Linked DNA regions of Tamandua tetradactyla. The protein of the gene in region 3 binds, or shares a complex with, the protein of the main gene of each other region. Links are inferred from orthologs where the notes say so. Each region holds a gene or a part of one and is shown on either strand. Other genes may lie near its edges. The genes, in order: MAP3K20, NOD2, MAPK14 and TAB1.

Region 1 (7,759 bases), on a different chromosome or scaffold from region 3:
TCGCTGCCATTTGTCAGGAAAAAATAAAAGAGTAGAAATGACTGGATAACTGTCTTTGTTTTTCCCTTAGCTAATGTAGAGCAAGCCTTACTAAATCATTGTGGTAGGCATTTAGATTTTTAAAAACCAACTGAATTACCCAGTTGAGTAATCATAATTCAACCTAAATTAGCCAGCCTCCTCCTGTCTATACAACCAGTTTATCTGGATCACTTTGCTACACAACTTAGTTAAATAAACCCCTCTAACAGGTTTCAGTGTGTCATATTACGCAGCTTGATGTCTATGACTAACATCCCCAGCCCCTGGGGGAGGTTGCCTCACATATATCTATAGATGGTCAGCAAATTTCTGGTCCTGATTAATGTGGATGCAACAAGTTTTAAGGTAGTCACCTTGCTACAGAATGAAATTCACAGTTATCGTTGAAGTCCTGGGTTGGATTTCAGCTTCTTGGTAGCCTTCTGTATATGTATATGGAGAAGGGGACCAAATTCAAATTCTCATCCTTTCCCAGATTCTTAAGCAAGTCAGGATGAACTGTGAATCATCTTATTACATGAAAATTTGATGATTTGATGACCCAGGACAAATGTTAATGAGGACTTCAGAATGTTTAAAACAAAGATTAAAGCAGTATAGCATAGGGAAAAAAAAGAATTAGATAGATCTAGATTGAGACCAGATCTACTGCTTATGAGTTATGTGACCTTGTGTATTGTTAGTTAGCCTCTTTAAGTCTCAGTTTCTTCATCTGTGAAATGGGAATTATAATAAGGGTTTTGTTAGGAAAAGTCAGTATAGGTACAGTGTGTAACACAGGGCTTGCCCAGAGTAAGTATTCAGTAAAATTAGCTATTCATATTATTAGTGATCATTTTTCACATGCTATAAATTTCCTAATATTATTATTCAGTTACCTGAATTATTTCTCTTTCTTCTGGGGTCAGCTTTTCTCTACTTTTCTTTGTTCTTTTCTTTTAAAGTACTAGTTTTCTCAGACATTTCTGTCATTTGTTGATTATTTATATTCAAGAATGATATGGATTATGACATCCACCCTTAGGAGGCAGAAGGAACTATAGTCAGTTTTCACCTTAAATAAGACTATTTTCCCTATGTTCTATTATAACTTTTTTTTTTTTCATTTATACTGCTCTACTAAGGAGAGTGGATCCTGGTAACAGAAGGGTCTTCTGTTTTTTTCAGTGTAAACAATATTTTAATCCTCAGCCAAGATGGAGATTTTCAAGTTTGAAATAGAAGCTCTGAGAAAATTAAATGGTCTGTGTGAAAAAGGAGGCAAGTTTAGGGTACCCAAGAATAATCTTCAAACTTGAGGGAGTGGGGGAAGTTGGGAGTAGAAAGAGGAGAACAGAGTACAGATAGCAAAGAAGAAAGATCTGGAAGAAGAGAAGATATGTCCAATGAGAATTTTTAAAAATGAAATACTGTGGGGTTCTTTAATGAAACCCCCTTCTTCATCTTTTCTACAAAATATTTGTAAATCCATATTGGATTTCAGTAGAGCCATTTTTCTAATGAAATAAGGTATAGAGAATTATATGAAAATCGATAGGCCAACCACTCAGTTTAAGGGATAAAGCATTTTAAATACAACTGATGCTCTTTCCTGCTTAGGAGTGGATTCTTTATGGTGACTAGAAAACTTTACATGGTGCTTCAAGATTCGTGCGTAGTGAAAATAAAGGTTTCTTATGGAAATATCTGATATATGGCATATGATATGTCGGATATTTATGATGAGGATTTATATGTATGCACACACACCAACTTCTATTCTGAGAGTTAAGACTTTAGAGAAAAGCATCTCAGATCTCTTGTTTAATTTTGCTTAAAATATTTCAGCAAAATTAATCTCATGCTTTGATTCCTGAACTCTTTTCTATTATTTTTATTTTGTGGCATCAAAAGTCTGCATAATCAATTCTCTTAGTGACAAAAAGAGAGGCAAGTAGTGTAACCTTGTTGTTAATAATGCACTTTGGAATCAGATATACCTGGTTCAAAAATCCCAGTATTGCCATAATCTGAGCATATGACCTTGGGCAAGATATTTAATTTCTCTTGGTAGTTCCTCATCAGTAAAATAGTGAGACTATTCATTTCAGGTATTCAAAACAAAATACTGGGTGTATGTATCTGGTACATAATGTGTGTTCAATACATGGCCATTGAGCTGACAGGTGAAAAGCTCCAATTACTGAATCAGTATATCCCAGAAAATTATCTTCCAACAAAGTCAACATTCAGAAAACATTGTATTTAAAACTCTGTATTAAATCAAAGTACAGAATTTCTTTTTTTCTTGCAGCAATCGTCTTCTCTTGGTGCTTAAAAGATTTTTATGCCCCCTATTATAGAGAGTTTATATAGTTGTTCCTTAGATGTTTTTTCCTAATACACAAGTGAACTCTGCACATTAAGTCTATGAAACAACTGAGTCTCTGGGTTATTCCCATAATCTACCCCATCCCTCTCCAGCTGTTTCAGTGTTGATTTAATGTTATTCATTTGCTTGTGCTATTATTGAAAATGAATTCTTAATTAAAATGACCCAGCATCACCTGGTTCCCATAGAGTACCACAGGTAATAATCCCTAATTTAATGTACACTTTGGTTTATACCTACAATTTAATTCCTGAGACCAGAAATAAAAATGGTTTTTATAATGGCTTGTGAACATTAGTTGGAGGAAAGATTAGAACTACTAATGAAGAGCTACTTTCTTAGGAGGGATCTCACAACACTGTGTAATTGATTCTAGGCTACACAGACTGAACACCTAAATGAATAGCCAGGCTAGATTAAAATCTACTTTCTAATGTGACCTATGTATAAAAAATGTATGTTATCCTTTGGTTTAGCTTCTGATCTACTCTTTCAAATATGAACATTTTAAATGTTGGTAAGAGAAGTCTGGGACATTTATTTTCACCTCTCCTCCCTCTTTCATTTAAAATATTTTCTGTCCCACTGCAATTAACTTTTATTGTGTGTTGTTCTAGTTTGCTAGCTGCCAGAATGCAATATACCAGAAACAGAACAGCTTATTAAAAAGGGGAATTTATTAAGTTGCCAGTCCAGTGTTCTAAGGCCATGAAAATGTCCCAACTAAAGCAAGCCTATAGAAATGTCCAATCTAAGGCATCCAGATAAAGATACCTTGGTTCAAGAAGGCCGATGACAATCAGGGTTTCTCTCGTAACTGGAAAGGCACATGGTGAACTTGTCAGCATCTGCGTGCTTTCTCTCCCAGCTTCTTGTTTCATGAAGCTCCCCTGGGGACATTTTCCTTCTTCATCTCCAAAGGTCTCAGGCTGCTGACTCTGTAGCTTTTTCCAAAATGCCTCCTTCTTAAAGGACTCCAGTAAGCAACCCCACCTTGAGTGGGTGGAGACACACCTCCATGGAAACCATCTGATCAAAAGTTACCACCCACAATTGGGTGAGTCACATCTCCATGGATAATTTAAAAACTCCCATCCAGCAATGCTGAATGAGGATTAAAAGGCATGGCTTTTCTGGGGTCCACAAATTCAAAACCAGCACATATATATACAAAATTCAATATCCTGGCTCAATTATTGCAGCAAGAACTTTGCAAAACTGCATGTAACCCAAATTTGGGATACTAACCACATGTGTCATACAGGCCTATGGAACTAACCTTCCATCCCATTTTGGTGTCAAAGCACCTGTATAAGTTTCTTTCCTTTTCCATCCTTCCATACTTGATTTGGCTGAAGATTCTCAGGAGTCCTTGAATGTTTTAAAGTATGCTTTGCTGTGGTCTCTCAAAGCAGAAAGGAAGAAAAGACACTAATATTTCTTGAGCTCCAAGCACTCAGTATGCTGGGCACTTTAGATACCTTAACTCAGTCTTCACCATAACCTTTGTGAGGGAGGTATTCCAATTTCCATTTGCAGATGTGGAAGCTCACAGAAGTTAAATACATTGGCCAAAGTTCACAGCTGAGGGCTACCCATAAGCATTGATACAGGGCTGTAGAATACACAAGGAAGCCTGGTTGAAGGGGATGTCTCCAGTGGGACTGTGCCAATAGAGAGAAGGGTAGCGTTTTTTCCCAACATACACAAACATTCTGCATATGGTAGAGGTGCCCCAGACTGATTCAAAACCTGATCTGTCAGATTTTAATGCCTATATGCTTTCTGCTATTTTATGCTACTTCTCTAAGAAGTACTATATTCCCTGTTCTGTGAAGAAAAACTTTAAACATCTGGCAGCACCAGGCCCTGAAAAACTCTCCCCAAAGAAGGGCAGCAGACTGTCCAGCCATGTGTGGTTCCTTTACTCTGTAGACAGTTTACAGAAATGGCTGCAGTTACCTCTTTTCCTGTGTCCATAACTTAGCAACATGACATTGCATCTCTTCACATCAACAAATAGAATTATTTCCCCACCCTTTGAATCTGGGCTGGTCTCTTGACCCACTTTGGCCCATAGAATGTGGTAGAAGCAATGGTGCACCAGTTCCAAGCCTAGGCCTCAAGAGCTCTTGATTATCTTCTCATTCCCTCAGATCCCGTGCCAGCTACCCAGTGAATAAGCCCAGTCTAGCCCACTGAGGGATGAGAGAGTACGTGCAGCAGAGATGAACCATTCCACCCAAGACCACCTAGTGAGCCGACTGCAGGTGTATAAGCCCATCCCAGAGCAGCAATGTCTGCCCCAGATTAGAAGAAAACACCTAGCTGACCCATGGGCTCATGAACTAAATAAATGGTTGTTTATTTAAGTCACTATATTTGGGGGTAGTTTGTTATTCAGCAACTCATAAACTCACTGATGTGATTAATCATTCCACTGAACAACCCCTTTCTTCATCCTAAAGCTGCTTGTCTCCTCACCAAGACTGAACCATCAGAATCTGACCCTCACACTTTTTGCCCCAAACTGACAACAGCAAATTCTCCCTGTGTTTATCACCCTGGATACTCTTGCCATCTGTCTTTGGCTAAGGAGGTGGGTGGGTAGCTATTAGGATTCTTCTAGTCCTCTTTTGGTCTCATGTGTTGAAAAAACTTGTTCTGAAGAATTTTCTACCAACTTTTGCTCCAGTTTTCTCTTGTGTTCTACCTAGTCTCCATCTCTTCCTTGAGCCTGTAGGGTGAATCCATGCCAGTGCCCACAAACCCTCAGTGATTTGTACTCACTTTACTTTGTGGTAAAGCTTTGTTCCCCATCTTTCCAAATTTGTATTTGCCTGGAGACAAAGATCCTGGCTTGCTCTAGCAGTATCCTTGACCTTCCCTAACTGCTTGATAGACATATGCAAAGGAGCCCAAGGCAGACACATCTCCCATTCCCATGACCTTATTCTCTTGGGGTTACTAAAATTCCCCCCCCCGCCACCCTTTAACATCAGACTACAGGCAACAGTATTCTGATACATCAACCAACAGGCTAGCAAGAATAGACAAAGGTTTCTGGACTGTGATTGCACGTGGGCCGATGTGGCTTAGTTGAGGGCACAGTGGCAAATGGAGCCTTCTCTACTCTATGTTTGGACCTCCACATATGGAGCCCTGGGTCCACTAACCATTGCTTTTTCACAGCAGCCGTGCCATACACAGCCTAACTTTCCAAGGGGGTGGCACAGGTAGACACGGGATACGTCCAATATGGCCTGGTGTGGGCTAAGTCAGGAGGAAGGATGGCGTTTGACTGCGTGTTGCTATCTGAGTTCACCACTGCTTTTTAATACTTGCAGTATTAAATACTGCAGCACTCTACAACTCCTCTGCCCTGCCTTTGTGCCTGGATAATAAAATCATTCAATTAAAGAATTAGAGAGTACACTTTGGGTAGACAGTGTGATAATATAAAGTAGTGGCTGTGCCCTCCAAAAGCTAACTATCAGAAATCAAAGTCTGATCACAGCACCCTACTTCCTCAAGCACTGTAATAGACTTCCACTGCTTTGAGATTAAAGATAAAGGTCCTTAAAAAAGGTTTGTAAGGCATTGTGAACTCTGAGCCCTTCTGAACTCTTCCAGCACATCTTATGCCACTTTCTCCCATATTCTCTCTGCTCTGCCGTGGTGAGTTTTCAGTCCATCATACTGCCAATGGCTAATGGCTTATCCTGCTTAGAACCCATTCCCCTGTTCTTTCTGCTTAGCACCTGTATCTCTCAGAGTTCAGGTCAACTGCCATTTCCACGGGTAACATTTCTTCACCTTAGATCAAGTCAAATACCCTTATGATATGCTCTCATAACACCACGTGTATCCCTTGAAGCACTTCTATATTTATATTTGTGTGATTATTTGATTAATCTTATGATGCCCCTATTAGATGATAAACTTCAGGAGAACAGGGACCTTGTTTAGTTTTTCTCACCATTGAATCCCAAACTTACAGAAAGCCTGGTACTCATTTAGCACCTCTGTCATTATTTGCTGATAAATGAGTGAATGCATGGAAAGACAACCAACAATACTAATTAAGTTAATGATTCTTCACCAGTTTATAAATCAGAGAAGCTGTGACCTGCTCATCTAACACCATTCTCTTCTTTAAGATACTCAGAAGCAAGAGATTTAACACATTTTAGATTGACAGCAAAAGAAAAGCTATTCAAAGTAGGGGTTCATTTTGCCACATTGCATATTCTATGCTGATTTTTTGAATTATAAGCACAATTTGAAACGATAATGACACTTCTTTTTAATTTTCTCACACTAGTAGTCATTGATCTGCATTCATATCTTAGAAGGAAATGCTATTGAATTCAGGAAAAGCCTATTTAACCTGAAAGGCATTCAAAATTGCCAGAAAATCTTAGCTCCTATACACCCGCCAGTGACCTTACTAAGCAAGAATGTTCATCACTTAAATATATAATTTTCTACAGATGCTTTTGGTAAAAACATTCTTTCTTCTTTTTTCACATCTTCTAGCAAACCTCATTATACTTCTTGTGACCTTGTAGGTATCTCATTTTCTTCTGGCTTGTTTGCAAGTTTTAAAATATTAACTGCACCTCCTGCCTCAGGAAGGGTTGCTTGGCTACTACTCTATATTTTTAGAGTGTGAATTCTTTTACTTCTCCATCACTACCTTGAATAATGGAGTTTAATGCATTTTCAAAGAAGCCAGACATAATTAAAATCTCTTATCTTTAGTAAAGGCAGCAATAGTTATTCTCCTTTAGAAGACCAAGGGGAACATAGTTGGGGGAACATGTATTAATTTTGAATGATGTTAAAACTAAACTAAAATAAGGTCATAAGGGTCAATTGCCAGCAAATTGGGGGAAGGAGACTGTCATAAATAGGAGGCTGGCTTGACAGTAAGGTAGGAGCAAACAAGCAATTCTTTAATTAGAGGAAGGATGCCCAAGGAATGGACCATCAGCTTCATTTGTTAACCTTTGAAAATCATTCAAAGAGGAAAAATATATAATGGCAAAAATTTTACAGCAGATATTGAGGTTTATGACATGGTGAAATGTGAACAATAATGACTTCAGAAAGATTTATTTAATAAACATTTAAAATTTTTTCTAGTAAATTCCAGGCATTGTGCATGACTCTAGGTGGGAAGCGTAAAATTGAATAAAACAAAACCCCTGCTCTTGAAGACTTGAAGCCTTAAGTACATGAACATAGACAGGCATTTGCCTGCTTTAGCATTGCCCTAAGTGGGCTTTAATTGAGGGACATTAAAGGAAATTACAGGGCATGGTAGTTCAGCAGTAGAAGTCT
Region 2 (8,344 bases), on a different chromosome or scaffold from region 3:
GCCAAAGCACGGAGGTGGGAATACCAGGAGCTGTAAGGAAGCTTTTGCAGCTGAGTGGGTGTGGAAGTAGGGGTAGTAGGAAAGCCATTCGTTTACTCATTCATTGGGCCTGCGTGTAGAAGGGTTTGGACTCTGGTCGGTGAGGGGTAGGGGAGAGGCCCATTGAGAGCTGCTTGGAGCAGGGGATCGACATGGAGACTGTCACCCAGTCAAGTCCGAGGCAACCACCTGTGTCGGCAGCCGGTGGCACCTGTCAGGGTTCTTTCAGCTTGCACCTGAAGGAGACAGTCCAAGCTCCTGGGGGCAGCCCTTGCACACAGGCAGCCGGCATACCTATTCTTCCACCAGCCTCCCCATCCAGTAGAATTTTAAATGTCACAACCCAGAAGGTGACTCCCAGTGAGGAAGGGCTCAGGCCTGGGGCTCCTGGAGACTGTCCCCTTGCTTTCTGAGCACTACCTGGTAGGTGACCAGGTCAGGGCACTCAAGTACAGAAACACCACCAGAGCATCCCTACTGCCTGCCTTTGGCATGGGACCCTGCAGGCAGGGAGGTGGTAATAAAGGCTTCTTAACCCACTGAAAAGAAAGCTTTAAAAAATTATTATACAAGCAATATGGGCTTATTAGGAAATATAAGCTAACAAAAGAGAATTTAAACAATCTACTTACAATCCAACCATAAATTTTGAAGGATAGTCTTTTGACTTTTTAAATGCATGTATTCATAGATTTTATTACAGAAATAAGAGCATGCTGCATGAAACATTTTTGCAACTCACTTTTTTTGTATTGACATATAATTCATATGCTGTAAAATTCATCCTTCTAAAGTGTATAATTCAGTGGCTTTTAGTATATTCACAAGGCTGTGTAACCATCACTATTATCTGACTCCAGAACATTTCATCACCCCAAAAAGAAACCCTGCATCCATTAGCAATCACTCCCCATCTCCTCTCCCTCCAGCTTTAGCAACCACTAATCTATTTTCTGTCTCTGTGGACTTGTTTATTCTGGACATTTCATAGTTATGGACTGTGCAGGTTTGAGAGGATGTATGCCCCCTCGAAAAGCCATGTTGTAATCTAAATCCCATTTCCTAAAGGCAGAATAATCCCTATTCAGTACTGTATGTTTGAAACTGTAATCAGAGCATCTCCCTGGAGATGTGATTTAATCAAGAGTGGTTGTTAAACTGGATTAGGTGACGACATGTCTCCACCCATTTGGGTGGGTCTTCATTAGTTTCTGGAGTCCTATAAAAGAGGAAACATTTTGGAGAATGAAAGAGATTTGGAGAGAGCAGAGAATGCTGCAGCACCACGAAGCAGAGAATCCATGAGCCAGCGACCTTTGGAGATGAAAAAGGAAAACACTTCCTGGGGAGCTTCATGAAACTGGAAGCCAGGAGAGAAAGCTAGCAGATGATGCCGTGTTTGCCATGTGCCCTTCCAGCTGAGAGAGAAAGAACCCTGACTGTGTTTGCCATGTGCCTTCTCACTTGGGAGAGAAACCCTGAACTTCATCCCTGGATGCATGCCTTTGATTGGACATTTCTATAGACTTGTTTTAATTGGGACATTTTCTTGCCCTTAGAACTTTACACTAGCCACTTATTAAATTCCCCTTTTAAAAGCCATTCCATTTCTGGTATTTTGCATTCCGGCAGCTAGCAAACTAGAACCTGGACCATACAACATGTGGCCTTTTGTGTCTGGTTTCTTTCACTTAGTGTAATGTCTTCAAGGTTCATCCCTGTTGTCACATATATCCAAACTTCATTCCTTTTTAGGCTGACTAATATTCCATTGCACGGATATATAACATCTTGTTTATCCATTCACCCGCTGATGGACATTTGCTTCCAGTTTTAGGCTACCATAAATAATGCTACTGTGAACATTCATGTACAAGTTTTTATGTGAACCTATGTTTTCAGTTCTCTTGAGTATATACTTAGGATTGAGCTGCCTGGTCATTGGTAAGTATATGTTTAACTTTTTGAGGATTTATCAAACTGTTTTTCCAAAGTGGCCGCACCATTTTACATCCCCAGCAGCAGTGTATGAGGGTTTCCATTTTTCCACATTCTTCCCCACATTTGTTATTCTCTGTTTTTTAGTATAGCCATCCTACTGGATATGGAATGGTATCTCACGTGGTTTTGATTTGCATTTCCCTATTGACTAATGACATTGAACGTCTTTTCATGTTCATTTGTATATATATATATATATATTTGATAAACACCTATTCAAATCCTTTGCCCATTAAAAAAAATTGGGTTACTTATCAAAATTGCTAAGTTGTAAGAGTTCTTTATTCTAGTCACTAGATCCTTGACTATACGACTTTGCAAATATTTTCTATCATTCTGTGGGTATCTTTTGACTTTCTTGATAATGTCTTTGAAAGATAAAGTTTTTAATTCTGATGAAGTCCAATTTATTATTTTTTCTTTGATTGTGTATGCTTTAGGTGTCACAGCTGAGAAACCATTGCCCCATCGAAGGTCATGAAGTTTTACTCCTATTTTTTCTTCTATGAATTTTCCAGTTTTAGCTCTTTTATTTAAGTCCTCAACCAGTTTTCAGTTAATTTTTGTATTTGGTGTGAGGTAGGGGCCCAACTTCATTCTTTTTTATGTGGCTATCTAGCATCATTTGTTGAAAAGATACAATCTTTCCCCATTGAATATCTTGGCACCCTTTTCAAATAGCAACCCATTTAGAAAACTGATATTATATTATGGCATCTTTCCATGCTAATGAACATATATCTATAAGCATCTTTTAAAAATAAAGCTTTATTGGGGGTGCAAGGGTAATTTAGTGGTAGAATTCTCACCTGCCATGCAGGAGATCTGGGTTTGATTCCCGGGTCATGCACTTTCCCCAAACGAACAACCAAAAACAAGCCAACAACAAACAAACAAAAAAATTCAACAAATGGTGCTGTAGTAACAGGATACTCACATGGAAAAATAATGAAATGTGACCCTGCCATACAACATACCAAAAAAATAACAATAATAAAGGCTTATTGAAATATAAGTAATACAAAGAAAAGTGCAAACACTGTAAGTGTTTAGCCATGAATTTTCAGAAAGTATTCACACCTGTGTAACTGCCACTCAGACCAAAATACAGAACATTATTTGCATCCTGGAAGCTCCCCATGCCCCTTCTCAGTCATTACCTCCACCCCATGGTAACTGTTATCCTGGCCCCTACCACTTAGTTTTGCCTGCTTCTGAACTTTATACAATTGATAACAGATGGTAAGTATGCCTTTGCATATGACTTCTTCTACTCAACATTTTGCCCATGAGATTCATTGGTGTTTTTGTGGGTTGCAGTAGTTCATTTGTTATTACAATTACTGCATTGTTTTTAGGACATTCATTCAAATATTTATAGCTTACCAGGTCCTGTTCTAGACCCTGGAATAAGGAAACGAATGACGCAGAAAGGTTCCTGTTTCAAGTCCCAGCGGGGAGAGATTGACAAAGAAAATAAGTAGGACATATAGTGTGTTATATGGAGATAAGTGCTATGGAGAAAATTACAAAATGCAGGGAAAGGGATGTGGGGGGCAGGTCGCAATTTTGTAGGGGAGAGCCAGAGAAGGCGTCCCTGTGAAAGTCATATTTAAGCAAAGACCTGAAAGAGGTGGAGGAGGCAGCCACATGGATTTTAGAGGAAGAGCATTCCAGGCAGAGGAAACAGCAAATGCAAAGGCCTGGAGGTGGCCGCAGGGTTGGCACATCCCAGGAATGTCCGGGAGGCCCACGTGGCTGGAGCAGAGTGAGCGAGGACAGGAGGATTTGGAGAGGTCACAGGGTGACAAATACTGACAGTAGGACTTGGCTTTGACTATGAATATGAATGAAATGGAACCATTGGAGGGGTTTGAGCAGAGGAGGGACCTAATTAGCCTTTTTTTTTTTTAATGGACTCTGGCTGCTGTGTTGAAGAAAAACTATGGTTGAAACCATAGAGAACTGCTAGGAGTGCTTGCTATAATCTGGAGGAGAGATGATGGTAATTTAGACCCAGGTGGTCATGGTGGACATGGTAAGAAGCGGCTGCATTCTGGATCCATTTTGAAGGTCAAGCTGAATAATTTTTTCCTAGGATGTGGGGTAGCAGAGAACACATGGCGATTGAGTTCTCCAGGTTCAGAGGCTCCGTCGTGTCCTTTAAGCCATCTCATAGGATTGGACATTGAGGTTTCCAGCCTTTCACTGTTAAGGGCATCCTTGTGGGTAGATTTGTCCCCCATCTGGAATGATTTCCTTGATGAAAATCAAGGAAAGAATGAGTCTTTCGATTCAGCATTTCCCAGCCTCAGCCCACCGTGCCCCACTTGTGCAGGTATTTACCCGGAAGCAATGCAGGGCAGTGTTTTAGAATACACTCTTTGGTCTAGACACCTTGGGGGCAGGACGTGGCTCTGCCGTCACAACTTTGAAATCTGGGATAGGAGAATGACTCTGTGTTTCAATTTCCTCATCTGAAAATCTGGGATTTTAATAGTTCACTCTGTGAATCTATGTAAAGCCTGGCACACAGGAAGTGCTATATACATGTTATTTTCATTATTTTTCTTGAAATTGACTTCACATTTTTTAAAAAGCCAGATAGAAGTGTATAAAAGGAACATTGATATTCCTTACTTGACAAAGTAGTGTCACTTGCTCTGTAGAATAGGAAATCAAAAAATAAATAGACTGAAAACAAGACAGTGCTGTTAGCTTCTGGTTTCATATTGCTGCAGCGACAAGGAGACGAGGCTGTGTTCTAGAAGAGCTCAGCCCTACTAAACTAAACTGAGACCTCTCTCGCCAACTTACAAGGTGGAGAGAAAAATGGAAGGTGTGTAAACCATCACGTACCTACAGCATTGTTCTGGGAACTTCGCAATTTTAAGACTTTCAAAAACTGGATTGACTAGTTCCCCCAAGGATGCACAGGTTAGTATAACACCAAAGGATGTCACCGCACGTGCGTGTGTCTGTGTTTTGGAGGGTGTGTGTGTCCCGAGAGACTTGTCTCCGGACTCCCTCCCAGCCACTCTCAGGTCTCAGGTGAGTTCCTGGCCCCCCGGGACGCGGGCGCTCTGGGGCGGGGAGCGGGTGTGGCCCGCCTGGCAGCGGCGCGGCGGGCGGGGTGCCCGGCAGTGGGACGGGCCCGGGGCGGGGACACGGCGGGGCGGAGCCGAAGACCCGCGCGGCGGGAGCCGGAGCCAGAGGCGGGAGACGCTTCCCGAGCCCGGGCTGAGGATTCGGGACGCCGGCGGCTCCGCGGTGAGTGCTCGCTCCGGGCGCGAAGTCTGCTCCGGGCGCGAAGTCTGCGCCCAGCGCCCAGGCGGCGGGGAGACAGTGGGCGCCGAGTGTCCTGCCCCCTGGCAGTCGGACGCCTGGCTTCAGAGCCGTTATAGTCGCTGGATTTGGGGAGGGTGCGCCTCGGTTTGCCTTTGAGGACTCCCGGGGTATACATGGGGGACAGAGAAAAGAGAATGTCTCAAGGTTGGGAAGCCACCTGGTGGGTTGTGGATACAGATGATGAGGAGACTTGGGGGCATGGGTGGGACTCACCACCTCCCAGGTTCCCTGATGTCTGGAGAGGGTGCTTGACTTGGGGGTCACCAGAGTAGTGGGGACAGAACCTCTGAGTTGTGAAGTCTTGAGGCTCTGGGCTGGGAGTGAGGAGACCAGACACCCAGCGTCTCAGTGGGATCACCCTTTGTAGTTACCCTTCTTCACTCTGGGCCTTAGTTTCCCCATCTTCCCATACCTGTGAATGGTTGGGTGTATGTGGGAGAGTCTGCTTGGATAATCTCTAGCCCCACCTCTGGCCCTATAAATATTATGGGGGCTCCTTCTTCTTAGTTTTCCCAGTTCACCCCCTATCCCCACTCCATCTGCTGCCCAGCACCGCATCCTCTGAGTCATTCGCTCTCCCCACTGCAGCCCTCTTGTCCTTCTTACTTGCCAACAAACTCAGAAAACTCCCCAGGTCCCCTCGGGCGGCATCTTCTGCAGCTGGCTGAGGGCTGGTAGCTAGACCCCTGGCTCTGAGGCTGCCCTGGGCCTCTTTCCTCTGTTTGGGGCCCTTTGGCTTCTTCCTGCCCTTTGCCTCAGTTTCCCCAGGGGCTGGCTCCTTGAAGAGTCCTTATTCCATAGAAGGGAAAAAGCCTGCCCTGCCGCCCCTCCCCGGCGCTTGGTGAAGACCAGAGTGGCCTTCCATGGCCTCTGCTCCGCTGCCTGAATCGGTCTGCTGGGGACCCCAGCGGCCCCTGAGTTTGCTGGTTACTCAAGGCCCCCTTTTCCTCTCTACATGTTGGAATTTGAAGGTGGAAGGAATCTCCTCTAGCCCACCTCCCTCCCACCCAGGGCTGAATGCCTGCAGAGTGCTGGCCCAACCTCTGTTGCGTCTGCCTGGTGACAGGGACCTCATTGCTTATGAGTCCTGCAGTTCTCACTACACTCAGCTAAAGCCCAGGGCTTGCAGATCCCCCTTCTTGGCTCCACTTCTGCCTGCTGGAGCCATACAGAGGAAATTTATTCCTTTATTTGAAAAATCCTGATTGATGCATTGTATGAGACATGGGGATAGAGTAATGAAGAAAATAGACGAAACTGTCTGCCTTCATAGGGTTCACATTCTCGAAAGCAGTCAAAAGCAATCAAATAGGTGAATGCATAGTATGTCAGGTGGTGAGAAGTATGCCATGGAGAAGAAAGCAGGGAAGGATGATGGGGTGGGGTATTGCAGTTTTATGTAGCCTAGTCAGGGACTGTCCCTCTGAGATGGTGACAACTGAGCAAAGCCTTGATGGAGGTGAGGGGTGAGCCATGTCAATGTCTGGGGGAGGGAGAGTGTGCCAATAGAGGGAGGAGCATGTGCAAAGGTCCTGAGGCAGAAGCCGGTGTGTCCAGAGCTGGGTGGATGAGGAACAGGTGGGGGGTTAGTAGGAAACGAGTTCAGAAAAGTAAGGGTTGGTGTGTGTGTGTGTGTGTGTGTGTGTGTGTGTGTGTGTGTGTGTGTCCATAGTGTATGGCCCTAAAGGTCACGGGGAAGATTTTTGTTTTCACTTGATTGCAATGGGTGTCACTGGAGGAGACACTTGCTCCGATCTGGGGTTTCACAAGCTCATCTGGCTGGGGGATGGAGGATAGACTGTAGAGGGGTGAGGGCAGAAGTAGTGGACCAAAGAGGTCTACTGCCATTATTCAGGGGAGAAACCATGGGGCCTGGAAAGAGGTGGCGAGCAATGATCAGATTTTCTGATTTGGGATGTACTTAGAAGGTAGGTTCGATAGGATTTGGGATGCACAAGGAGGGGTGGGAGTCAGGCTTTTGGCCTGAGCGCCTGGACATTTGGAGGTATGGTCAGCTGAGATAGGGATGCCTGTGCCAGGAGCTGTTTAGGGAGAAGAAAGGAGTTTGGTCTGGTACTTGCTAAGTTTGGGTTGCCTATTGGACATCCATGTAAAGAGGTCCAGTAAGCAGCTGGGAAAAGTTGAGGCATGTGGGGGGAGCAAGAAATGAAATTTGGGGTGCCAACACACAGTGTTAGTAGGTAAGCCATAAGAGCAGGGGAGCCCACTTAGAGAGCGAGGGATGGGAGAAGAGGGGTCTATTCAGGGACCCCTGGACTAGCACTAGGACTGAGAAAGAGCAGAGGGCAGTGTCCTGGGCTCTAAGGAGGAACGTTCTTCAAGGAGGAGAGGACAGTAATTATGACAAATGCCTTCAGCAGAATGAGCAAGATGAGGGCTGTGAATCGAGCAAGGTGGCGTGGCTGATGACTTTGACAAAAGCAGTCTCGATGGAGTGGTGGGGCGAAAACCTGATGGAGGGGAGGGGAGATGAGGACTGGGATGCAGTGGTAGAGGCAGAGGACAGGAGGCCTGCTGTTAGAAGAACAGAGAAATAGGGTTGTAGCAGAAAGGGGAACGGGAGAGGCTTTACATTTTGAGAGGGGAGAAATGACAGTGTGTCTGTGTGCTAATGTGGAATGACAGCCTGGGAAGGGGGGGACCAGAATGGGGGATGGCTGGGAGTGGGGCGAGAAGATTGGCACCAGCTTCCCAGGAGCTAAGAGCAAGGGCAGCTTCCCTGGTCCTCCCTTCCTCTCCTGCTGCAAGACCAGGAGACTGGGGTGTCAGTATGTAAGCAGAGCGTGGGCCCCAGAGAAAGCCTGGCCCTGCTGTGGTCTCTGGAAGGAAGGAAGTATCAGAGCTCAGAACTGGGCCAGGGGACAAGCTTGACCCTGTGTTTTGGCAAAGAAGTATGCCTTTCTCCTAGAGAAAAGGACAATAGTGGCTCCAAAGT
Region 3 (8,031 bases):
TAATTCCTATCTCACCTAAAACAGTATCACCAATCTAACTGCCTAATTTTTTCACCAGTCTTCAATTCAAATCCCCTAAATTATTTGAATATATTTTGACTTTTAACTAGTCCTTAAAATCCAATCTGCTCTCAAGGGAGGAGGATGGAAGAAAGTTACATAGGCACCAAAGTGGATTCTAAGAAATTTCCCAAAAACTTTTCTGTCACACTGGAAAAGTTGCTAACTAAAAGAGCAACTTCAAGTAACTACCCTGCCTAAGAAAGCATTCATTTATGAAACTAATTCTGGCATTTTCAGTCTAAAATCAGTTACATTTGTTTATAGTCAATTTTCATATAATTCCAGTTTTATTTTTCCCCACCAATATATTCTAAGTTGCATCTTAAATCCCCTTGACAGAACAAACAATAGAACAAATGAAAAACTCTGCCTCCCTGAAAGACACACAAGAAACTTAACAGTGGTTATCTCTGGGGAAGGGAACAGGGAGGCTGGGGAACAAGAAAGGAAAAGAAACTTTTCACCGAGTATCATTTATGTCTTCTGAATTTTATACAATGTAAATGTATTACTTATTTTTAAACCTGTTTAACAAAATTACTTCCAGATGCCAGGTACTGGTGGCTTCTATAAGCCAGCAAAGTAGAGTACTAAAGAAATTTGGAGCTCATTTTAAGGACATTTCACCGTAAATCTGAATCTCCTGTTTCATTGCAGAGACACACAAAAACGAAACCTTTCTTTTCAGCTAAACTCCTTTAGCTAATGTGAATCTTTTGCATCATTAAAAGCTTAAACATCATTGGAAACAAAAACAATACTACAAAAATTAGTGAATCAATTCAAGAATGTAAAAATGGAAGTAAATCTATGAGCTATTAAAGAAGCAACGATCCAAATACATCTTTGAAAACTAGGAAATGAACAAGAAATATATATAATGAACGTTAAATGCTGCAAATTATTTTAAAATGCTAACTGCCATACTGTAAAAATGGGAGAAAGATGTCAAAGGATGGTGACATCTGCAACATAATTCAAGCAGCTTGAACTAGGAAACGCAATATGATCTGTTGTTACTCACAATTGCACAATCTCAATTACTCAGAAGATTCTACCAAACAGGAAATTCATGATGTGGCTTTAAGGAACACAGGAATCATATTTAGAGATTAACACGTTCAAAAATCTGGAATTTGTTCCTAAAAAGAAAAATAACTTTGCAGGTCTTTTTTCAAAAGATCCATGGACATGAATTACTAAAGCTAACAATTAAATCTGATAGTTTCAGATCAGGCGCTCTGAAATCGTAGTAAACCTAAAATGAATCCTTGGAAATTAAAGAGAAGTTACTGAAATATTTCAGGTCTGGAAATTTTATGGTATTAATTTAATTTAAAACACGCTCCGGTTGTAAATTTAGAGTTTGCAAGTGTCTCTTTCTTCCTTTGCTGTATGTTCCTTATTCTTATGAAGATCATCATGTACCTCAGGTCATAAATGTGGATAAGTTCCTGCAAACTCTCCATAAGGAACTTTAAAAAAAAAACCTGTAGTTGCAAAAATTGTCGAACTTAAATATATTTATAACATTTCCCAACACTGTTAATAACTTTTTCATCTGGAGGGCATTCAACGGACCTTTATCTCACTTACTCCAAAAGAAAAAACTTTTGTCAAACAATACTTAAATGAGCAATGGTATGTGAATAACCACTAAGGCGGCCTGTTTCTTAAAATGCAGTGTTCCTGCAGGCACTATCACCCCACCCCACCCCCCTTGGCGGAGAGGAAATACGCTTTCAACCGAATCGGAAACACACCACTCAAGCTGGCACGGTGGAGATAAAGTCAGTATTTTAAGCTCTATGGGTCGCTGTTAATTCAAGTGCGAATTCAAAAAGAAGGCTTCTCAAAACGGGATTTCGACAGAGGGTTGCAAAAAAAAAAGCCCAGGGAGGGTTCTTTCTTCGTCAGTTTTGTTCAGATGACTGCGGTCCACCTGTCGGGTTTGCCCTTCTGCTGCTCTCTGCAGCTCCCCAAGCTGTTCGTTCACCGGGCCTGTTCCTGCGCCCTAGGATGGGAGCACCCCCGAAAGAGTTCCTCTGCTTGACGCCAGCAGAGTCCTCACCCCCGCCACCGTCCCAGACCCCAGAGCAGCAGCCTTCCAAAAAGAAACGCACAGGGGAACCAGGGCCGAGCTCCAGGCGCCGCTCTGTCCACCCCCACCCCACCGCGAACCTGCGTCCTGCATCCGGCTAACCACCAACCCGGGTGTGCAGGGTAAGGGGCAGGGGGTGCAGAAAAGGACTCAAATGCGCAGCGATGCCCTCCCCGTAGGAAAATTCCTACCGCTTGGCTCATCGCTGAGCCGTGTAGGCATGACCCTTGGGCGTGAGGGACCATCCCTGCTCAACGCGGCTTCAGGCTCGGGAATACTCACCACACCGAGCCATACGCGCCGGAGCCCACCGGAGACAGGTTCTGGTAGCGCTCGGGCACCTCCCAGATTGTCTTGTTCAGCTCCTGCCGGTAGAACGTGGGCCTCTCTTGAGACATCTTCCAGCGGCGGCCGCAAGGCGAGGAGGTGGCCCAGTGAGGCCCCCGTCTGCGCCCGCACCCGCTCGCCGGCCTTCACTGCCCGCCCGGCCGGGACCCCGCGCTGGCAGCGGGCGCAGGTGCGGCTGCTGCGGCCCCACCGACAAGCGCGCGCGGCCCCTGTCACCCGCAGAGGCTGGACGCGCTGCAGAAACCCGGGCGAGCCTGACTAAGGATAGGGCGCACTCCAAAGCTCAAGGCTGCGCCCGCCGCAGTCCCCCTGCACCCTCTCCCCGACCAGGCCGACTCCAAGCAGCGACGCCCAAATGTCTGCTCCAGCTGCAGCGCCCGCTGAGGGTCCTGTGGTAGCGGATCCAGAGCCAGCTTTCAGTAGCCTCCCGCCGCACTCTCGCGAGAACAGCTCCCGGGACACTCCGTGAGCCGAGATTTTACCCAATATGGAACATGCTCGCGGGAGGGGGCTCATAAGGAGAGAGTACGGGAAGAGCACTTATCGCGAGAGCAACAACTAGAGACGGGAGGCAAGAACTCCCAGCGTCTGGTCTCGCTTAAGAGCGCGAAGGCGGACCGGGAAGGTGTGGAGCGACTGGCAGTACTTGCCACGTGCGCCTCTTTGTGGTCGGCGGGGGAAATGCCTGGTGCTGGAAAGTGACAGGGACAAAGTGTCGGGAAAAGGGTCAAAAGATCTTGGGACTACGGGTGTAGGCACCAGCAGCCGAGCGACTGCTCAGCGGAACCTCCGATCTCCAAGAAATAACTGCATAAAAAAAGAGAAAGTTTCTGACCAGAAAACAGTTATATTCCCATCTGCTCAGGGACAGTTTGGTTTACTTTTCTGCATTCTGAAGAAATCTGTTTTATGGGCAAATATCAAGGCTGAGAATTTCCACCCAAAATTTTTGTGTGCAGAAGAATCGCTGTGGAAGTTTGCTTTAAAATGCAGATTCCCAGGACCCACCCAGAGTCTGTTTAAATAAGTCCGACGTGATCATTTTTACCGTATATATACCTTGGGTGGATCTAATTCAGGAAAGTCTCCAGCAACTCCCTTTGAGAAGCATTTTTTCGGGGTTTGAAACTGACTCCTACGCTAAAGAACGTTCCAGTGAAGAGGATTTTAAGCATATAATTCATGCCTCTCAGTTTGGACAACAGAGCGCATTGCCACAACACATTAGGCAAGTCAATTGACCTTTCTTAGACCTTAGTTCCAGCTTTTGCAAAACAGAATTCCTGCCCTACTTCCCACCTAATCGGGTCATTTGTAAGAGTTAAACAGGTTAATAAATGTGAATGGGCAAGGTATTCTAATCCATGCCTGTCCCCAGTTAGCGTTCTGTTCCTATGCCAAAATTATTACAAGAGCAGGAGAATTTATCTTAGACATAACTAGGGCCAAACCAGGCTGCTTCTCATCGCTCCTCATGATTATTCTCTTTTGTGTTATGCATCCTTTGGAGAGCTCAGACTTTGCCTGGCACTCCACAAATATTGGTTAACAAAATATGAAAAATGGCCATGATCTCAATTTAGGAGATGGTGCAGGGTCCTCAGTTCTCTTCAAGAAAAACTAAATTAAAAAGCAAACAAACAAAAAAACAGGAAAACAAGGTCATAGACGATCTGAGGAAAAAGCTTTTGCACTCAACCTGTGTTCTCCTGGTTTCTCTTGCCTGTGAAGATACACTGCCTGAGAACAGGCCAACCTGCAGGTCGAAGAACTTTCTAACAAGTAATGGAAGGTAAAAATGGGAGTGAAGGCAAAAATATGAGTGTGGAGAAATGAAAGGTGGGAGTGGGTCATCAAAAGGATGAGTGGATGCAAGAAACGATGGGGAGGTTTGGAAGTAAGAATCCTAAGACATTCATATATTTATCCAGTAAACTGAGATGATGGAGTGGGGGTGATTGAAACGGTAAAGACGAAGTGACCAATATATTCACTCATTCAGCAAATGCATATTGAATGCCTACTAAGTGGCAGCCATTTTCATTAAAGAGATGATTAAAAATCAGACACCATTGCTGCCCACATGGAATTTACAATCAACAGCAAGGCAGTCCTTCAATCATTCAACCCAACTTTATTGAGGCTTACTATGTGCACTTCACTGTTCTAGGCACTGATGATACCTCATTTTGTAAATGAGGTGAAACAATTTACAAAATGAATAATAACTCAACTATTAATACGGTAATGAGACAAACAAATGTAAAACTGCAACAGGGCCAAGCAGAAATACAAGGAATAGTGAAAGATGGTGACTGGGAAGGGAGATTGAAGGGGTGGGTACAGAAGGGGTGTGTGCCTGCGCGCTCGTGTGTGTGTGTGTGTGTGTGTGTGTGTGTGTGTGTGTGTGTGTGCAGATCAGAAGAACAGGTGCAACCGGGCGGGTGCTTTTCTCCAGTGCGGACAGGAGGCTTGTGAGTTACCGTCCGAAACTCTTCTGACCCGGGATTTAAGTGAATTAATACAGGTGAAGTGAAGGGCATAAGGCCTGGCACCAAGTAAGCCCTCCATTAAGAATAAAACCTTAAATGAATGGGAACCTAGGATCGCCTCGAGCTTTCACTATTCTTGATAGGAGGCCTATTTGTGCCAGGCCTCATGCTCCTCGCTTCACATTCGTTAATTCACTTAATGAATTAAGTATGGCCCAGGTACCTCTCTGGTGCGGATCCCCACCCCCGCTCCCATTCCCCCCGCCCGCCCAGAACTCCCGCGGGTTCGGCGGCAACGGTTCAGGAACCGCCGGCGTCCGCCGCGGCAGCGCCGCCAGCCGGGCCTGAGTTGGGTGGACCCCAGCGCCTGCACCCGCCCTCGCCGGGGAACCAGGTAAGCGGCTGCACAGAGACGCCGAGTGCTCGGAGCTGCAAGTTGTGGGCGAGGGATCGTCGCTTTCTGCAAGTCGAAGTCCCCTGGCGAGGCCAGGCACGTCGTGCACCCTCAGTCAATATATGAATGAATATATGGGAGCTTATCTTTCAGAAGTATTATCTCTATTTTGGAAGTCCGCGTTGGATAGCAATGACAAGAGACGATGTGTGCGTTTTGCAAGGGGAATCCCTTCAAAGTCTCTTGTCTGAATTGTCAGGAGCCCCCGAATTAGTCCTCTCCTGCACCTCACCTTTCCACCCCAGTCGTTTTCTGCATCCTGCCTGCCCAGAAGCGCTGCGTCCTTTCAGATCTCACTGTTTTTGTTCATTTGGGTTCTTCTGACTGATCTCCCTCACTCTTGCGCCTTTCTCTTCCTGTCAGATCCTTTTTTATCCTTCAGTGTACCCCCTTTTGAAGCTTTCTTAACAACCCTACTCTAATAACAGTGTCATGCCCCTACACCCACTACTATTACCCATTGTGTTGCATTAAAAGTGGTTTCATGTCCGATGGTAAGCTCCTAAGGGTTGCTGCCACTGTCTTATTATTCCTCTTTATGTCGCCAGTCACTAGTCAGAGAGTTGCATTGAAAGTACTAAAAGACAATGGTCTTTGCCTGTGCCTTTTCTATATTCCAAATACATTTCCTATAAAAACTTAGGCTGACAAGAGCTGTTTTACATGGAATTAAAAATGCTTATTTTTTTATTTTGGAGATGAAATTGCCTTCCCATGATTATAGAGAATGTATGATAGATGACAATATCAGAGAAAAGATGTTCTTGCAACTGAACTAGGTTTCAGGATTTCATATGAATTGGGTCAATAGAAAATTGGGTAGTATTTCAATTATGTTCTTGACTTTTAAAATAGTCAGAACACAGACTATGTAAACAAATGGATGGAGGGATGGATGGAAGGGATAGACAGATGGAAGGGACAAATATGGGGGGAGAAGGAGCTCAGTCCAAAGTGCTCATGTAGCCCTGGAAGAAGGGCTTAAGATAATTGGCTATATTTATAGCATTCCTCATACTTAATGTATATCAAAATCACCAGAAGGGCTCCTTACAAGTTCAGATTGCTGGGTCCATCCTCAGAGTTTCTGATTCAGTGGGTCTAGGAGGGGCCTATGAATTTGCATTTTTAGCAAAGTCCCAAGTGATACTGATGCTACTTGTCCAGGGACTAAGTTTCATTAGCAGAGATTAATTTCTCACTTCTAAGAGTTAATCCAGATACTGGAAACACATCATATTTGTGGAATAAGAAAATGAAAGCTTAGGTAGTTGAGACCCATGCATTACCCACCTAACTATTCCGTCTGATGGCAGAGAGCATCAGGGAATGGTTTTCTAAGTGGACACTGATCTTTAAGATTATGGGTAAAGCTTTAGCATGCTGTTGATCACACTGAGTACAGTGGCCTCATTAGACAGAGATTTTCAAGAGTCGCTAACAGAGACACCCTCCTTGTCTTAGCTGAAACATCATCATCCCATCATTGTGGTTTGGGTTCTTTTTTCTGAAATATGCATCTGCCAAATTTCACACCAAAGTGCATCTGCCACTTGTAGGTAATAGCCTCTGGTCTGCTTATCTTGTCGGGAAGGTCTTGCTAATGCATGCAAACAAGCCATAAGGGTTTCTATGAAATCACAAAAGATATAACTGAGCTGGAGAAATTCCAGAGGGGAATAAAACAAAAATGACTAAAGGAAATCATGATCATGTGTTTTCCCTCGCTGCTTTTAGCTAATCACTTGATAGGTCCTTTTAAGCCAGCTTCATAGCTTTCCACTTGCCCCTCCTTGCCATCTTCATTGTGGCCACACAGGCTTATGACTTCATTAGGTCTTCCCTGGACTACTGTATTATTGTCTCCAACTATCTTTTTGCCTCAGTCTCTCCTATCTCCAGTGCTCTCCAATAGAACTTTCTGTGATAATGAAAATGTTCTATATCTGAGCTGTCCACCAAGATAGCTACTAACCACATGTAGCTACTAAGCACTTGTAACGTGGCTAGTGCAACTGAGGAACTGAATTTTTTGTTTCATTTTAATTAGGTTAAAGTTAAATGGTCACGTGGCCAGTGGCTATCATACTGGACAGCACAGCTCTAGACCATTCCACGGACACGATTCACCTTCCCAAACTGCATCCCTATAATACTATTCCTCCTGCTCAAGCATTTCGAATAGCTATGAAACAAAATTCAGATTCAACCTAGCCTTCAAGACCCTCCAGGAATAGGCCTCAACCTTTTTTTGGTGGCCTCAACACTAAAGTTACTCCTTTCTCCCAGTTTAGATGATATATGATCATCCTGAAGGAAAACCAAGTTACTGGTACATTGAACTTGCTTATAGCCTCACCCATAAAGAACTATTTGTGTACATAACTTGAGTATTTACCTGTATATTTTATAGCTGTGTAATGTGTATGTACTTCACATTTATTTTAAAGAATTTTAGTTTGTGCTTTTACAAAAACATAGATTATTAAGAATGTTTATATTGCTCCCAGAGATGAATCTATATCCAACCTCATTAAGTCCTCCTCATTTTCTTAAAAAAAAAAAAAAAGGGC
Region 4 (7,407 bases), on a different chromosome or scaffold from region 3:
TCTCCACCCAGGGCCAAGCCACCACCATCCTGAACCTGGACAACTAGTAAAGGCCCCCCTGCAGGCCCTGGTCTCCCAGCCTCACTTCTCGAATATCTATTTTCAACAGAGGGGTCTTTCTCCAATCAAAGTTAGATCACATTTAGACCCGGCTCAAAACCACTCAAAACCACCCAAGACCTTTGCATTATACTTAAAATGGAACCCAAAGTCCTTATCAGGACCCGCAAGGCCCAATATGGCCCCCAGCTCCCTAGGATCTTCCTACCACTACCCACTCCCACCCTTCAACACCCTCCACTCTAGCCCTGTGGCCTCCAAACAGACAGGCCTTTGCACCCCCTGCTTCCTCAGGCAGGAACACCCCCCATATCCATTAGGCTTGCTTCTGCTACTTCATCGGGTCATCCCTGTCCAAAATGGCCCCTCCACCATTCTCTGAATCCTCACGGCACCTCTTGATGTTACACTGTTGTAGATATTCTCTTATCATATAAGAGCTATATTGGTTCACCGTTTGTTGTCTACATTCTAGAAAGTTCCTTGAGGGTAGTGTCTTTTGCATCTCTGCAGTGCCTGCACATAACAGTGCTCAGTGATGCTGGAGGAATGAATAGTATGTTCTCACTTATTCACAGCACACTCAGCTCAAAGACCTTCTGAAGTGCCACACTAGCTGGGAATGAAAGGTGAAATTCCTCAGGACCACATTCCATGATACCAGATACTCTGCTACCTGGTTCCGTACACTCTTCCAGCCCTCTGACAGCAACTCCCCTGCCATTCCCACAAGCCCTGCCCTTCCTGCAAGCCCACTCTGACCTGGTCAAACTAGGCCACATCTCAGCCCCTCAGCACAAAAACATGTAGTACTATCCTCTTGGAATGTCTCCCTTTTCCTCTGCCTGGAAAACTCCCACCCTCCTTTAAAGACTTTAAAGTTTTCTGCTGCCTCTGCAGGACTCCCAACACATGTTCACACTGACACCAGAGAACCTAACACACTGTCTCAGCAGCATTTGGCTCCTTCTCCCAAGCTGGACTAGGAATATGGTGAAGGTCGACACTTGATCTTACTCCACCTTCAGATCTCCAGGCACAGATTCAGGACAACATGAGGGCAGGTAAGCAGCCCCATCTTCCACCTGGCCCTCTCCTCTGTGGACAGCAGAGATGAGCTGCTCATCATCAGAGTAAAAGAGGGTAGAAGGGGCCTTGTGTGGACATCCCTGACACCCCCTTGCTTTCATCACCCTGACAAATATTTAAAGTTAACTAGTCTATCTTTAAAAAGCACCAGGAAAGATTCTACAACCACCCCCAGAAATACATTCCAGAGCTAATAAAGCGTGCCTTCTATCTAACCCAAGGCCCTTGGTCTCCATCATGCCTAGAGGGGACAGAAGCTGGCAGCCAACCTCGTCTGTACAACCCAGACAGCCACTCTCTCCTAGCAAATCCAAGCCAGCCTGCAGAATTTATCAGTTATAAACCATTCTCTTAACACTACAATCCAGCATGCATTTTGGGAATGCTTATTACAATGGGAACATTCATAAGGGGCCCCTACTCTCCAGGAGGTTACAAAGTAGAAGATGCCAGGCCTAACTTACCAACTGGAGCAGCAGTAAAATATAGGACTGTGGAGGAGAAGAGCATTATCCCCACCAGGGAGACCTGGGGAGGTTTCCTGGGGGAGCAACTTCAAGACTGCTTCCAGACAGTCTACATGAATTCTCAGTATACAGTAGTGAAGGTCACCCCACCCTCAATTCCTTCCGGGGTGGGGGGAGGGGAGTGTTAATGCATCTCTAAGGCCAAAGCTTGGCACTGGGCCTGGCTACAAATGCTTTAATCATTATATTTATTGCGTGCCTGGCACATAATGGGGTCCTAATGACATGATGATAAGCAAGAGACCACAAGTCCCGGTCTTCAAGTTCACTTTCTAGTACCGGAAGCAGACAAATCCAGAAGCAATTACAAGAGTGCCACAGCTGAGAGGACCCAGGAGTTCAGGGCTCAACTCTGATAGGTCAAAATAGGTCTGTGGTGCGGACACGTGTGCACCTATTTGTGCACGCATGTTAGGAGGATGCAGGGGCTTGAGGCAAAATCAGTACCAAACCCATGGGTGTCCAGATGGGAATCTCATCCATGCTACCTTCCAGATAAAGAAACTGAGACGGAAGGATACAATAAGTCAGAGCCAGGACTAGAAGCCAGGTTGCCACTATCCCAGTCATTCCTTCAGTCTAGCCTAGAGGATAAGAAGGGCTTCTGCAATCAACTGAATCCTGCCTCTGCCACCTATCAGCCAAGTGGCTTTGGGGAAATGACCAACTCTCTGTGCCTCAGTTTCCTCATCTGTAAAGCAGGAAGAACAGCACTAATTCCATGGGGCTGTTATGAAACTTACATTTTCAAACATGAAGCAATTAGCACACTGCTTGGAGTACAGTAAGCAGTTTATGAGTGGGTGCTGCTGGCATTATTGTCATTGCACAACTACTCTGTGCCGGGGTGGCCTCACGACCCGGACTTTCTCTTCGGGCTGGGAGAACGCTTCCACCCTCGACGCCCCGCAGTGAGGAGCCCGGCACCCTTGACGCTAGGGGACGCTGGGACCGGGAAGCCCGGAACACCCCCTCACCCCAACCTCCCGGCCAGCAGCGCGCAGGCGCGGGACTCCCTTCGCCGAACGGGGTCGCGCACGCAACGCGTACCCCCGACCTCAAGAGTGAGGGGGGCTAGCCCTGGGAGAGAGGAAGGCGGCGATAACATGCCCGGGAGAGGGAGGCGGTCCAAAAGCGGAGAGGAGACGCTCCTGGACCGGAAAGGCCCCCTCCCGGGCTCCCAACCCTCGGCCCGGAGAGCGGATCGGTTCCTCACACTCTGCAGCAAGCTCCTCCTCTGCGCCGCCATCTTGGAGGGACCCCCGCGGACGCGCCAGCTTCCCGGCAGAGCAGGCGAAATAGGCGGCTAGAGTGGCCTGCAGGAGGCGTGGAGGACCGCGCTGCCAGGAGCATGCGCCCAGCGCCACCTCACGGCCGAAGTGGGACGGGACTGCAGAGGGGCGTATACGCAGGCGCGCTCTTCCACCTTTTCTCTCTGAGAGGTAAAGGGAGATAACATGTAGCAAAGATGGTCACTTACCTTAAGTGATTGCCTCTCGCCCATCTTTATTTGCTCACTTTCTCCAGAACGCCTTTCAGGTGGGATTCCTAAAGCCCCGGATTAGGATTCTTTATGAACGCAATGAGACAGGAGTAGGGGGCGGGGGGGCGGGGATGAAGAGCAGGAGTTCATTCATTCATTCAGCAAATACTCATTGGATGACCGCACCGCGAAAGACAAACCCTCAAGGAGCTAGCATTTCAAATGGTGCTAAAGAATTTGGAAGAAGTTTATGGGTAGCAGCGTGGGAGTATTGACGAGGATCCAGTCTGCGGAAGTCCCGCTTGAGCTGAATTCTGAGGGAGGAATAGGCTTTAACTGGCAACAGGGAAGGGCCGACCAGGCAGATGGGACAGCGAGTACAAAAGCTCCAAGGAAAGGAGTTGCCAGAATGTGTGGGGTGAGAACGGAGGTGTAGGAGGGTGAGATGAAGGGGTGGTAGTCAAGCCGTGACCATTGCAGGCTCCAGGCGAGAGTTTGGCTTTTTACCCAGAAGACATGAGGAAGTCATTGACAACTTCTAAGCAAGACAGTGACAAGATCCCATTGGTAGAAAGATCCCTTGACTACTGTGTACAAATGGATTTTTAGGGGGGTTGATTGGAAGCAAAGCAGGAAGACCCAAGTAGAGGACTGTTGTAAGAGTTCTAGGTGAGAAATGTTAGAAGTTTGAATTGGCTGACGGCAGTGAGTGGATTTTATTTAGGAGATGAAATTGTAAGGGCCTAAAGATGGATTGGTTGTGGGTAGTCATGGGAAGAGATGTTTCAAAGGTGTCTCCCAGATTCCTTGCAAGAGCAGCTAGGTTTGGGGGAAGGAAGAAGGTAATGAACATGAGTTCATTTTGGACATGTCGAATTTGAAGTGCTTTTGAGACACGCAGGTAGAGAAGTCAAGTCAATCATTGGATAGAGAGGACAAGAGCTCAGAGCAGAGGCTCAGCTGGCAAAGACAACAGAGAGCAAGCGGCCAGTAAGCTAGGGAGAGCATAAGGTGACACTAAAGCCAAGGTGAGGAGTGTCCAGGGAGGCCCTGCTTTTGAGAGACCTAGTTAGAAGAGAACTGAAAAAAAAAATCAATTAAATTTAGCAGTGCAGAATACCTTGGCCCAGGCAATTCACGCAGAATGGTAGGACAGAAGCCCCAAAACAGTGAGTCAAGGAATGGCTGAGAAATAGAGATGTGGAAACCTTCAGAACAGGTGATTCTTCCCAATTGGTGAAAGGTGAAGAAGAGTCAGAGAAGGAGGACATGGGAAGGGGACAGGGAATGGAGGGAGAGATTTTCTTTTACATTTGGAGAAACTTGAGCCTATTTAAATGCTAAAGAAAAGGCTTAATAGAGAAGAGTTGATGATTTAGAAGCGAGAAAGAGTGGGAGGCAATCCAGGGCTGTGGTGGTGGCTCATCTCACTGTCCTACCAATGTAGCATCACATGGCCTAAAATAGCTGCTAGGGCTCCAGCCATTTTGTCCATGCTCAGTCATGGACTTTTTAATTAAACAAATATTTATGTGCAAGCATCACCTCTCCCTTCCCTTTTTAAAAAACTTTAAAGAATATTTTAAATAATTTCAAACATACAGGACAGTTGCAAAAATAATACAAACCCCATATAGAGAATTCCAACATACCCCTAGCCCCCAGATGCATAGATACACCAATTTTAATATTTTGCTACTTTTGTTTTATATCCTATCTGTTATCTATTTATCTTCTGAATATTTGAGAATAGGTTGTACACATGGTACTCCTTGAACCAAAACACTCCCATGTATATTTCCTACAAACAAGGATACTTACGTAATCACCTTAAGTGCAGTTATCAAGTTCAAGGAATTTAACATTGATATGAAGCTTACATTCTATATTCTAATTTTTCTTATGTCTCAATAATGTCCTTTTGGGTCTTTTCTCCTCTATTCTTAGATCCCATCCAATATCATGTGTTGCATTTAATTGTCATTTTCTCTTTAATTTCTCTTTCTTTTGTTTTAATTGTGGAAAGATATATAAAACATAAATCTTCCCATCCCAACCCCTCCCAGGCTTATTATTCAGTGGAGTAATCACATTCACACTATGGCAGAACCTTTGTCACCACCCATTACTAAAACTTTCCCTTTACCCCAAACAGAAAACCTGAAATAATTTTTCCTTAACTCCCCATTGCCCCTGCCCTCCCACCCCTGATAACCTGCATTCTACTTTCTGTCTCTGTGTTTGCATGTTCTCTGATATTTTCTTTGCGGTCACCATGGAACTTAAATTTGACATCCTAAATCTATAACAACCACTTTTGATTTGATACCAACCCAACTTCAGTAACACACATAAATTATGTTCCTATAGCCCTCCATTCCCCCATATACATATTTATATGTTACGAATCCAAAACCATTTATTTAGTATTACATTTTATACATTTCCCTTTTAAATCCTGTAGGAATTAAAAATGTAGTTACAAATTTAAAAATATAATAGTACTGGTATTTATATATACCCATGTCATTAAATTTACCAGTGATCTTTATTTGTTCATGTGGCTTCAGCCTATTATGCAGTGTCTTTTCCTTTCAACCTGCAGAACTCCTCTTAATATTTCTTGTAGGACTGATCTAGTGCTGACCAATTCCTTCAGCTTTTGTTTATCTTGCAATGTCTTAATCTCTTCCTAATTTTTTTTCCCTATAGGTGCATGATCCAGGAATCAAAGCCAGGTCTCCTGCGTGGAAGGTGAGCATTCTACCACTGAACCATCCACGCACCCTCTTCCTCATTTTTGAAAGATAGTTTTGCTGGATATAGAATTCTTGGTTGGCAGTTTTTTTGCTTTTAGCACGTTAAGTATGTCCTCCCACTGCCTTCTGCCTCCATGGTTTCCAATGAGAAATCAGAATTGCGGAATTCTCTATTTTTAACATTTGATAATTTGGAACAGTGTAGGTCTTTTTAGGTTTAACCCATTTGGAGTTCACTAAATGTCTTGGATGTGTATATTCATTTTTTCCATTTAATGTGGGATTTTTTCAACTTTTATTTCTTTGAATATTCTCTCTGTCCCTTTCTTTTCCTTCTGGGACTCCCACAAAGCATATAATGGCAACTTGATGGTGTCCCACATCTTCCTCAGGCTCTGTTCACTTTTTGTTCTTTGTTCTTTTTGCTCCTCAGACTGGATGCTTTCAATTGTCTTATCTTCAGGTTTGCTGATTCATTCTTCTGCCAGCTCCAATCAGCTATGGAAGCCCTCTAGGCAATTTTTAATTTGTTACTATGGTCTTCAGCTCTGTTTGGCTCCTTTTCATAATTTCCATCTTCCTATTTATATTCTCTTTGTGTTCATCTATCATCTTCCTGATTTCCTTTGTCCATGTTTCCTTTAGCTCTTTGAGCATATATAGGGCCATTTTTTTAAACTTTTTTTATTGAAAAAAATATATATACAAAGCAAAGAAAGAAAAAAAGCAATAATTTTCGAAGCACATGTCAACAAGTAGTTACAGAACAGATCCCAGAGTTTGGCATGGGCTACCATTCCACTATCTCAGATTTTTTTCTTCTAACTGCTCCAAAACACTGGAGGCTAGAAGGAATATTAATATAGTAATTCAGCAGCCATACTTGTTTGTTAAATCCCATTTCTTCTGTTATACCTTCTCCTTCTTTAATCCTTCTCTCAATATATAGGGATCTTTGGGCAATGCCCATTCTAACTTTTCCATGTTGAGAAGGGATGTCAACACTAAAAGATATGGGGATGAAATTAATTGCTAATCTTGGAGAGGCTGGTCCTTCTGAGTTTCAGGATTTAGCTGACCTAGGAACCCCCTGGGAATTATATGTTCCAGAAAGGCAAACCTAGCGCATGAAACATTTATAGATTCTTGGTCCAAGCCCTAGGTGTTCTTAAGAGTCAACAAGAGTGATGTTGATTGGGGTTTAGCAAACCATGCCAATTTGCACTATCTAACTGAAACTTGCATAAGAGTAGCCTCCAGTATAGCCTCTTGACTGTATTTGATCTCTCTTAGCCACCGATGTTAGGACCATTTTTTAAAAGTCTTTGTTGGGTATGTCCCAGATCTCATCCTTGTCATCAACAGTTTCTAATGCTTTAATCCTCTGCCTGAGCATTGTTCTCAGTTTCTTTGCAAGTTTGGTAATCTTTTGTTGAAATACAGACCTTTTGATATTTTAATGTGCTATCCCTGGAATTTAGACTGTGAG

The links.
Region 1: MAPK14 (region 3) and MAP3K20 share a complex: the UniProt entries of both Homo sapiens proteins name them as parts of the signaling complex. The link is inferred for Tamandua tetradactyla from reciprocal best matches to the Homo sapiens genes MAPK14 and MAP3K20.
Region 2: MAPK14 (region 3) and NOD2 share a complex: the UniProt entries of both Homo sapiens proteins name them as parts of the signaling complex. The link is inferred for Tamandua tetradactyla from reciprocal best matches to the Homo sapiens genes MAPK14 and NOD2.
Region 4: the proteins of MAPK14 (region 3) and TAB1 are in contact, whole or in part, in a crystal structure (PDB 4LOP), measured with the Mus musculus proteins. The link is inferred for Tamandua tetradactyla from reciprocal best matches to the Homo sapiens genes MAPK14 and TAB1. Residues at the interface, in NP_036081.1 of Mus musculus: Gly110, Ala111, Asn115, Ile116, Cys119, Gln120, Lys121, Leu122, Thr123, Asp124, Asp125, His126, Phe129, Val158, Asn159, Glu160, Asp161, Cys162, Leu217, Thr218, Gly219, Arg220, Thr221, Leu222, Asn272, Val273, Phe274, Ile275, Gly276, Ala277; in NP_079885.2 of Mus musculus: Val385, Tyr386, Pro387, Val388, Ser389, Val390, Pro391, Tyr392, Leu405, Ser406, Leu407, Val408, Met409, Pro410.

The regions. Positions count from the first base shown.
Region 1 is NC_135329.1:144,879,019-144,886,777, reverse strand, and holds the start of MAP3K20 (mitogen-activated protein kinase kinase kinase 20), read right to left. Parts: upstream 3,352-7,759; 5' UTR 3,295-3,351; coding exon 3,188-3,294; intron 1-3,187. UniProt on the Homo sapiens protein: Stress-activated component of a protein kinase signal transduction cascade that promotes programmed cell death in response to various stress, such as ribosomal stress, osmotic shock and ionizing radiation.
Region 2 is NC_135342.1:44,463,578-44,471,921, forward strand, and holds the start of NOD2 (nucleotide-binding oligomerization domain-containing protein 2), read left to right. Parts: upstream 1-5,242; 5' UTR 5,243-5,310; intron 5,311-8,344. UniProt on the Homo sapiens protein: Pattern recognition receptor (PRR) that detects bacterial peptidoglycan fragments and other danger signals and plays an important role in gastrointestinal immunity.
Region 3 is NC_135331.1:92,713,630-92,721,660, reverse strand, and holds the start of MAPK14 (mitogen-activated protein kinase 14), read right to left. Parts: upstream 3,024-8,031; 5' UTR 2,563-3,023; coding exon 2,447-2,562; intron 1-2,446. UniProt on the Homo sapiens protein: Serine/threonine kinase which acts as an essential component of the MAP kinase signal transduction pathway.
Region 4 is NC_135333.1:31,923,827-31,931,233, reverse strand, and holds the start of TAB1 (TGF-beta-activated kinase 1 and MAP3K7-binding protein 1), read right to left. Parts: upstream 3,047-7,407; 5' UTR 2,926-3,046; coding exon 2,893-2,925; exon of another isoform or gene 2,432-2,892; coding exon of another isoform or gene 2,420-2,431; intron 1-2,419. UniProt on the Homo sapiens protein: Key adapter protein that plays an essential role in JNK and NF-kappa-B activation and proinflammatory cytokines production in response to stimulation with TLRs and cytokines.